2 linked regions of the Schizosaccharomyces pombe genome follow. The protein of the gene in region 1 purifies or fractionates together with the protein of each later gene. This does not show direct contact. Each region holds a gene or a part of one and is shown on either strand. Other genes may lie near its edges.

Region 1 (4,629 bases):
CAATTCATTCAATCACTGCGAGGGTTTATCGGGTTAATCTTCTGTAAGGAATATCGGCTTTTATGGAGTTAAAAATTGGTATGAACATTTTCCATTTGCATAAGCGAAAAAAACACGAATGTTTGTTTATTGAAATCGTTCGCACGATAGTGGAAACCAAAACATATATGGCAAAAAGCCTACAGCACCCCGGATTCCCATGTTGTCTCCAACCATAGTACTAACGAGGCCCTCAGACGCTTAACTGCAGTGATCGGACGGGAACTGGTGTTTTCGCCTAGGTATGGCCGTAGACGTTTGTCAAAAAATTTAACAAGATATATAGTGTAAGAAAAGATAAGAGGTATTTTAAATTTTGTTAAAAGCTTCAACATGATTTTTGAAAGAATTTTCAATGAGCACAATAATAAAATAACTGGTAGTACTCGTTTAACTGTGTATATACAAAATATATTTACACAAAAATATATCCGGTCAGGGAGGGACTCGAACCCTCGACCTCACGATTAACAGTCGTGCGCAATAACCAACTATGCTACCCGACCTTGGATGTCTGTAGATATATTTTAAACATATATATCTTCTATGCTTTAAACCTAGTCATTACTTTTGTCTTAATACCAGTTATTCTGAATCATCAAGTATTTCGGAACTTTAGTTATACTATATTTGTATTAGTAACATGAATTTTAAAGGATAGATAATTCCACTCAGAAGAAGACTGTTTCTAGACTATAAATATATTCACTATGTAGTAAACATATGTAAAGATTCAATGAAAAACAAATGGTTCGTTATTCGATTTGAATTAAATGAAATTAACAAATTATCATAAAAACAATCTAAATAATTGCGTAGTTTGATAAACACGAATAACAGGACCAGCAAGTAAAATCAAAAAAAAATCTGTGGTTAATTAAACAGCTTTATATTGGCTCATTTAACCTGATAAATTAATGTACTAAAGACCTTTTTTTTGTTTGAAATTATAAATACCACAGTTCGTCAACAAAAGTGAATTCAATTATGGAATAATTGGCAAAATTTGTAAAGCATCATTGTTTTCAATTCAGTAGAGTTTTCAAGAAGTCATTGATTAAATAAGTCTAAAAGATTCACTAGTTCATCAATAAATTTCTGGTCCCGTAACCCTATTCCGCCGCTTAGAATTTCGAACCTAACGGAAATTTATTTTTTTAGAAAAATATGATTTACTTATATCTAGATAGTAAACTAAGGACGCAAGCTCAAATTTGTTCAGCATCGCTCCCTAATTCTCATTTTTCCACTGTTACTAAAAACTGAACTATGTAAACCAAAGTCCGATATTCATCTCAAAAAATAGTACACTGTCACATATGAGCTAAAAGGACATAAAAAGAAATATTTTTTTACACCAAAGCTGCAACTTGTTTCTTTGAATTTCGAATGTTTACATTATTCTTTCCATTTAGCGATACGCTGCTTATTCCTATTGTACACCACCAATATGTGCTACTTTTTGTTACTTAGCTCTAGCTAGGTTTCATACATAAGGTGCATCTTTATGTTAGTCCACCTTCTTATCCCTTTACCGTACTTACTGGCTTCTTAAACAAGCTTCTCCGTTGTGCCATCTAGCTAATATAATCATTTTGAGAGGCTTTTACTATCGATCTATTTGGGTTGAATGATTAGGAACAGTAGCATTTCTGATGCTCTACCTGTAGCATTAGGCGGAAATGAAGAAGAATCGCCTTTATTGATGCTGGTACAATTACCCAAAGAGTTTCTCGAAGGATATCTTTCAGGAACGATAACAGACGTGAGCTTGGAATGCAGTGATGTTGGTACTGTATGTGTGGGCATTTGTGAAGAGCGATAAAGAAGAATGAATTTTGAATGTTGCTAACCAATATACTTTTTTTAGTCAATATTAGCGAACGATAGGTCTTACAAATGCACTTCCGTTCCAGAAACTGCTCCGCATGAGATTTACAGACTGGTGGACTCGAATTCGTTACAACTGGTTGGCCGTGTCTCACAAAAGCTACAGCTTCGTAGAGAGCTCGACAGTTTAACTGCTGAGCGAGTGAAAAATCGTACGCAGGAAGCTCAAAAGGAAAAAGAAGAAAAAAGGTATGAAAAGAACGACAATAGTATCAACCAATTCTATGGATTGGAAGAAGTTACTTTCAATCTTTCTCTTTTCAAATTATGCTAATATTTGTAAAAATAGAATTGTTACCCTTCAAAATGATGGTGGTTCAAAAAATACAACTGCTAGGAAGCAAAAGCAGTTAAAAAAAAATGGACTCAGGCCTCTCAATACAAGTGCTTCACGAATTGGTCTTTCCTCTTCTCCCACAAATACACCTTCCCCAAACCTTCCCGTCTCGCAACCGTCTGCATCACCACATTATTCTGGTGATAAAAACTCGGCCAAAGGCATTGATCTTCGTACTCGTGTTATCCAACTTTTGGCAATCGCTCCCGAAACTGAAGATTTTCTTCGTTTAAGAACAAAGGCGTCACTTTCCAAATTACAAGCGTTATTACCAGAAGTCGCTTGGAAGAACAACATGAATCAATGGGAGCTCCTTAATCCTGTGTATAAAGATGTACGAGTCTTTGATTGGCGTCCTTATAGTATTGCAGACAGGAATGCCGTTCTAAGTCGTATGTCCAATGCATTCGACAACATGCAATTGCCTCCTGATGCTCCTGAACGTTCACTTTTAGTGTCAAAACAAAAAAACATTACTAAACTCAACAATGAAAAACGAATTCCTCCCCAATTGGCCCAACCCACTTCTCATGTTCCTTCATTCATTGACACTAACTCTCCTTCAATGCCTTCTATTTCCTCGGTTTCTTCTTATCAACAACAACACCGCATACCCAAGCTCAACGCTTCAAACTATTCTCCCTTGCTTTCCCCCTCCTCACACCGAAAAACATCGGGAAATCTTTCTCGTACTGGTTCAGAAAGCTCTGCCGTTTCATTAAGCGATACAACAAACTTAAATACTCCTATCTCCGACATTCCTTCACCTGGCTCTTCCACTACTTGCTCCAATCTTTCATCTCCACATATCAAACGAAAAAGTCGTTCTCCTCCGCAATCCTTGCCTTCCACCCCGTTTCCTACGTCTTCGTCTTCTACCAACGGCACTCTTGAACCCAATGCAAACTCTCCCAAGAAGAATGAACAAGATGCATGGATAGCTAAAAAGCGTCGTCAACAACGTTACACTACAGAAGAAATGCGAGCATTGGCAAAAAGATTTCGGGAAACTTATCCGCGTTATAAGAATTTATATTTAAAAGTCTCTTCATATTATGATAATAATGATACTAATAATCCTAATTTAAACAAGCTCCAAGATGAACTTATATCTCTACATTCTCAGCTCAAAAGCTGGAAAAATACACTTTACGATGCTTCCTCGGAGCTAGCCCTCTAACTTTTCTCAATAAATTTCCGGTTTTCTTAACACTCAGTTTTATTTCCAATGTTTTATAAAGGTGACGGTTATCTCAGCTTCAATTCAAAATTGTTTCAATACTGTACGGTGCCTACAACGAGTGCAGGCTGTTTTTTCCTGCTTTCGTTAAGGCTAGTGTTTCGTTTAAAAGATAAATTGGTTAAATTCATATTCAATTAGCAGTTTATTGAATATTAGTTTGTTTTTGATTTTATAATGAGAATCTTGTTATTGTGATGCTTTTTTTAAACTTTTATGACATATCTTTAAGTTAGTTAAACTGCGTGAATTCCTTATGTGCTATCACTTTTTTTTGGGCTTAAAAGTACCACTGATGAGTCCTTTCGTTTAATCTAATTTATTTTGTTTTTCTTACCACCTTTCATGAAATATTCCGCCAAAATTTTTTTTCTACATTAGTACAAAGTGACCCTGAAACAAAAACTATCATTAAAATGTTTAGGTATTCATTGATCCGTTGATTACTGATTTACCTTCATAAGTCATCTAATATAAATATTTGGAGACCAGCTTCTTTCACAGCTTAACCAGCGCTGATAGCAAAAAAGTAAATTCTATTTTCGTTTATCAGAAGCAAATATTTAATCAATTAAAATTAAAACTTTTATTTATCAAATATCGGTAATAACTACAATGTGTAATGGTATATAACCTTCAACACGGTCGTCCTTATTTTTGCCTTTCTTATATTGTTTTATTTAAAAAGGATACAAAGTTAATAAAATACAACAGAAACAAAAAAAATTGCAATTCTTTTATATAACCTCCTTAAGCCAGCGGTAATAATGCGATGGCAAACGTCGATGTTCACGCAAACCTACAGAAACTACATTGATATCCACTTCTGGCTGCCATAGTTGGCATTGTCTAGAAAGGGCACCACTAACATTAGTAGAAGGGTGAACCGGTATAATCAATCCTATAGACCCTAAAGTTTCCCATGCTTCCAAAGCAACATCCCTTCCCCATAATCGACTGCTATGAGCTAGAGCTCCCGATGCTGCGGCATTTATAACGGAAGATTGATGCAGTTGTCGATATTCTTGATAAGCACTATTAAAGTTGCAAGCTGGAATATCCCTAGCTTCAAAGCGAACTGCACAAATCAATAAAGCCAACTCCAACAAACTTAAATTCTTTA
Region 2 (4,606 bases), on another chromosome or scaffold:
CTCTAAAGCCTTGACAGAGCATAAACCTTTACATTTATGTAAAAACCTCAGTTTTATATCTCGATGTAGTTTTGAATCTCGAAGAGAAAAAATGATATTATAAACAAGGCCTTGTTAACCAACACATATTGATGAAAGCATTTTTTTTGAAATCACCTTAGTTTAATTGACTTTAAAAAACTTTCAATAACTTGTAGTAGTCATCATCTAATTGCATTGCGAATTTCTTCTTGCTAACTACTTTAATTTGAAATTCTTTTTTTTTAACAAACATGGTATAAACATTTGCGCTGATTCTTATCCAATATTCTCGTATGGAAACCTCTTATATTATACTAAACGATTTGTTATATCACCGAATCAGCAATTTTTCAATCAGAAAGATTCTTTTCTTTCAATGAAAAAAATCTAAAAAAAAAACAATTTTCAAGATAGTGTTTCTTAGTAACCTAAAATTTTAAACTCATTCGGCTTCCAATTTATCAGCTGCGCACACTAAAACATTAGCAGTCAACAAGTTGGATTATCAAGTTTCTTATTACGTTTCCCTGCAAACTTGCACTGAGACCGCCTTGATGTTTCACATCAAATTTTGAGCTCAGGAAACAACTCATGAAATTTTTTTTATCACTGAAAGATTTTAAAGGAGAAAAATTCGTCCTACGCTCAGAATTGGATGAAAGCAGTGCTTTCTTGTGCGCAATTAGCCCAACCTGTAGATACGTCTTAAGGGGTATAGAAAGATAGTGTGTAAAACGTTCTTTTACTAATTTTCCAGATGAAATACCTTGGAAACGATTGCAACGGAACGTAACCTCAGAATCATTAACCGATGAACTTATCGTGGATCTGTTGTGCGGCAGATCCGAATCAAAGCACACATTGCAATTAGTGGTTTTAGAGAATTTATGTAGGGTATGTTTATTGCAATACTGTAGTAGTTAATGAATTGCTGATTGTGTGATGACTTTCAAACCAAGGAATTTTTTTGTTCGTCGCATCTACCCCATTTTGCCAGTCGTTTTTGAGCTGATTAATTAAATATGCTAACAATTTAGATTTATATCAACTACGTTGATCCTTTCCCTTTACGTATTGCCTGGTTTGAATTAGAACAACAAGCATTGAAAGACCATGAACATTTTGATGTACTGTGGGAGTGCAGCCATTCGATAAAGGTATGAAAAAAACTTTACATTCTTTCTCTTTTGCTGATTATTTGAAATTTAGGACCTTGCCCTTGCTAGTATGGCTCAACAAAAAAACGAGCTTCAAAAGCTTATGGCTTATACAGAGCAACTTCAAGAAGAATGTAAGTCTAGGGAACGAAAGCTTATAATGAAATTTGCAGATATGATTAAAAATGCAAGAAATAACGAGGATAATGAAGACAACCACCATATTAATTATGAGGATGAATCTGATGTCGGGACAGACGAGCAAAAGCAGCAAGAGGGAGTCAATTCTTCCGCAGTCTCTGATACTGACGAATCTGCAGTTTCTGATGAATTTATGCAGATAAAAGAAGAATTTCCAATGAAAGCATTGAGCGCTTCACCAACTGCAGACGCTTCTCCCGAGTCAGCAGGTGAAGATGATTCACATAGGCGATCGTCCCACGAAAGTAGCGAAACAGTTTCTGAGTAGCTTCGGAAGGAATGATAATATGATACATTACGCTTCAAGTTAAACTACCCGAAATGCCTCTCCATTCTTACACTTTTTTCAGTATTCAGGTCAACTTTATTCTCTTTAATTTCAAAACAATAATAAATTTACTTAAATTTAAATATTCACACGGAATCCTACTATAGGTAAAGCACTTGCAAGATAAATACAATATGTATAGTTGGTGAATTTTTATAAAGATGTCTTATAAGCCTAGCACTTCCTTCCTGTACAAAAGAATGAAGCATGTTTGCGATCGTGTTTACCATGCTATTATTTTCTGATCCACTTTTTCTTCAGCAAATTTACTATTTACATATATAATTTGTTACTCAAGGTTGGGCGCGTTCTGAAGTAACGTGTTTATTACTTGTCGACAATACGCTTCATAATTTCACCAAAATCCTATAACCAAGCCTGTTGTAATTTTATACTGGGATTTAGGCTTGAATATTCTTTTTTGACGGCATTTAGCAATTTTTGGCTTTGGATAAATGAATGCTTAGCTGTGTGGGCAAACGGGTTTTCGCTATTGGAAACGCAGTTACTAATTTGAATTTGCTAACATTCATACTGTTTTTAAATTAAATGCTGTGAAGATTTCTTTTCTTAAACTTTTCATATCTTTTCGAGTTACATGCTATCGGTAATTGCGCTAATTGACGCGAATTCTTAATATAATAGGCATTATTTGTTGTCTTCTAATCGAAATCTTTTAATTCCATAGCATATCTCTTTTTTAAGTAAATACTTTTATTTGAATAGTTTATACAGCGCATGCGATGAGCAACGACAGCAGTGATAATCAAATTCGTCGTCGGCATCATCCAGTACTGCCTAAGGGTTCCTTTCAGAAAAAGGACGATTCTATCGTCTTAGAACAGGAATTATCTACTCCAAAACAAGTCAACCAAGCCCGTCCAAAGTTTCCATCTCCAATTACTCCTACTCTTCCTGAAATGCATCTTCCCGTAGGGAATTCAAAATTCCAAGCGGTATTGCCAAGCTTGATAAGCCCTACGCTTCCTCCTGGGTTTGGAATGGCAAGCGATGACTCTGAAGCATCGTTAGCAGAGAACGATTTACATCCCTTGGATAACGATTCTACACGTACTAGCAAAACGCTTAAAAATTCATCAGAGGTTTTAACCGCTTCCAAACTTACTGATGAAGGTAATTCTAAACCTTTGTTGGAGGAAGGGGAGGTAGCTGTCAGTTCTCCAATTCTCCTTGATTCAAAAGATGTAATAATGGGAGTCACTAAGAGCTCAAAAAATCTAGTTGAAGATGCTCACAAATCAAAGAAGGCCTCCACGAACAGTTCCATAAATAATATGGTATCTACTGTAAATTCTGAAAATTCTAATGTTAATAATGGATCCTCGTTGAATGGTAACACCAGCAGCAATCTCAAGAGAAAAGCCAATGTAACGTTAGGTGATTATAAGCGCTTAAAAGTAAAAAACAAGAATCCTTCTTCCCAAGAGCTGATCACAGCTGATGTTGACAAAACATCTGGTTCACTGTCTGAAAAGTCGGAAGTAAATCATGCCTCTTTGAAGAAAACGTATATGCGTCTTCTTAACAGTGGGAAAATGCAAAAGAAAGAATGTGATAAGAAAGGAAAATTTTTCGAAGCGTACGCTGTAGATGCTGTTTTATGTTACACAGTTGCTTTTCACCTACAGAATCTTTCCAATCTTTCGAGAAACCATCCCGCTACTACGAGTAACTGGAGAACCCTCCCTGCGTATATTCAGTTTCTCATAAAAGAAGAGGATAAACTGGATCCTTGTATTCAAGGACTATTTTTTCTTTTACTCGGGATTGCATTTCGTGAAATTTTTCATATCGAGGTTATGAGGATACGACACTCACAATTGAATCTTATGAGAGACATAAAAGAAAGCTCAAGTGGATTAACATCTGCCAAGTCCCTCGGTGATGCACAGAATTTATGTGAGAATGCGGTGCGCCTTTACTCTTCGTATAAACATTACATTACATCTATGAAGAAGGGAAGTTCGTTGTTGACAATTGAATATATCTCATCTACTGCACCAAATACTTTTAACGAATTTTTTGTCCAAAAAAAGGCAAATATCCCTTTGCCATTAGATATCGACGCTCCAATTGGTGTCACAATCAGGTTTAGTCACAATTTATTAAACGAATGGATTAAAAAGCAAGGAGATGTTTTTGAGTCAAAGCTTTTAAAAGAAGATATCGAAAATCTTCAATCTTTAGAAGAAAGCTACCCCATTGCCCAATATTTATAAATAATTGTATTAACTCCCATAACTTGAAAGATTTGAGTCGGTCTTCAATAACAGAATGTCATTCTTTCACTAATAAAGTTACTTAATGTATTTTGCTTTATCATGCCTTTGTGTTTATTTTCAAATATGTAGAATAATCGAATAGATATTGATTCCCACGCTAAGTAGAAGTAATAAACTAAAACGTTTAGAATGCATGAACTTCTTAAGTACCTAGTACTATTCTGAATTTATATGATACGTTCACTGTAAAGATTTAAAAAGTCGTAAAAAAGTTCGAGGCTAGACTTAATTGTCTTTTAATACTAGATATACAAAGAAAGGCGATAAGCCTTTATACTCATGGTAATAAATAAAGAGCGATTTCAACAATGCGAGAGTCCTCCTTAATAATATGCAAATTACAGACGATAGAAACGTTTAAGCTGAAGAGGAAGTATTAACTCTTTCAGAATTACTGTACACAATAGGCTTTTCTTTCGAGCTCGGATGACGACGTTCTAACTTTGAAAGAATGCGACGACCACAGGGCGTATTCTTTATGCTTGGAATAAGTGGTTTAATCCGTTCAACCAACTCTGCGCGTTGCTTTACACTCGCATTATCAAGTGCCGTTTGAATAACATAATTAGCGAAAGAATCACGAAGTAACTTGGGAA

Evidence for each region. Proteins that work in one complex are often made in the same cells at the same time.
Region 2: the proteins of ell1 (region 1) and ebp1 purify together in Schizosaccharomyces pombe (affinity purification with western blotting; one study listed by BioGRID). This does not show direct contact.

What each region holds. Positions count from the first base shown.
Region 1 is NC_003423.3:2,028,076-2,032,704, reverse strand, and holds ell1 (RNA polymerase II transcription elongation factor Ell1), read left to right. Parts: upstream 1-1,564; 5' UTR 1,565-1,669; coding exon 1,670-1,834; intron 1,835-1,909; coding exon 1,910-2,118; intron 2,119-2,218; coding exon 2,219-3,446; 3' UTR 3,447-4,095; downstream 4,096-4,629. Other genes in the region: origin recognition complex subunit Orc4, read right to left, coding at 4,244-4,629.
Region 2 is NC_003424.3:3,275,992-3,280,597, reverse strand, and holds ebp1 (protein Ebp1), read left to right. Parts: upstream 1-2,064; 5' UTR 2,065-2,450; coding exon 2,451-3,947; 3' UTR 3,948-4,106; downstream 4,107-4,606. Other genes in the region: protein Xrc4, read left to right, coding at 613-733, 779-915, 1,059-1,178, 1,231-1,647; puf4 (RNA-binding protein), read right to left, coding at 4,368-4,606.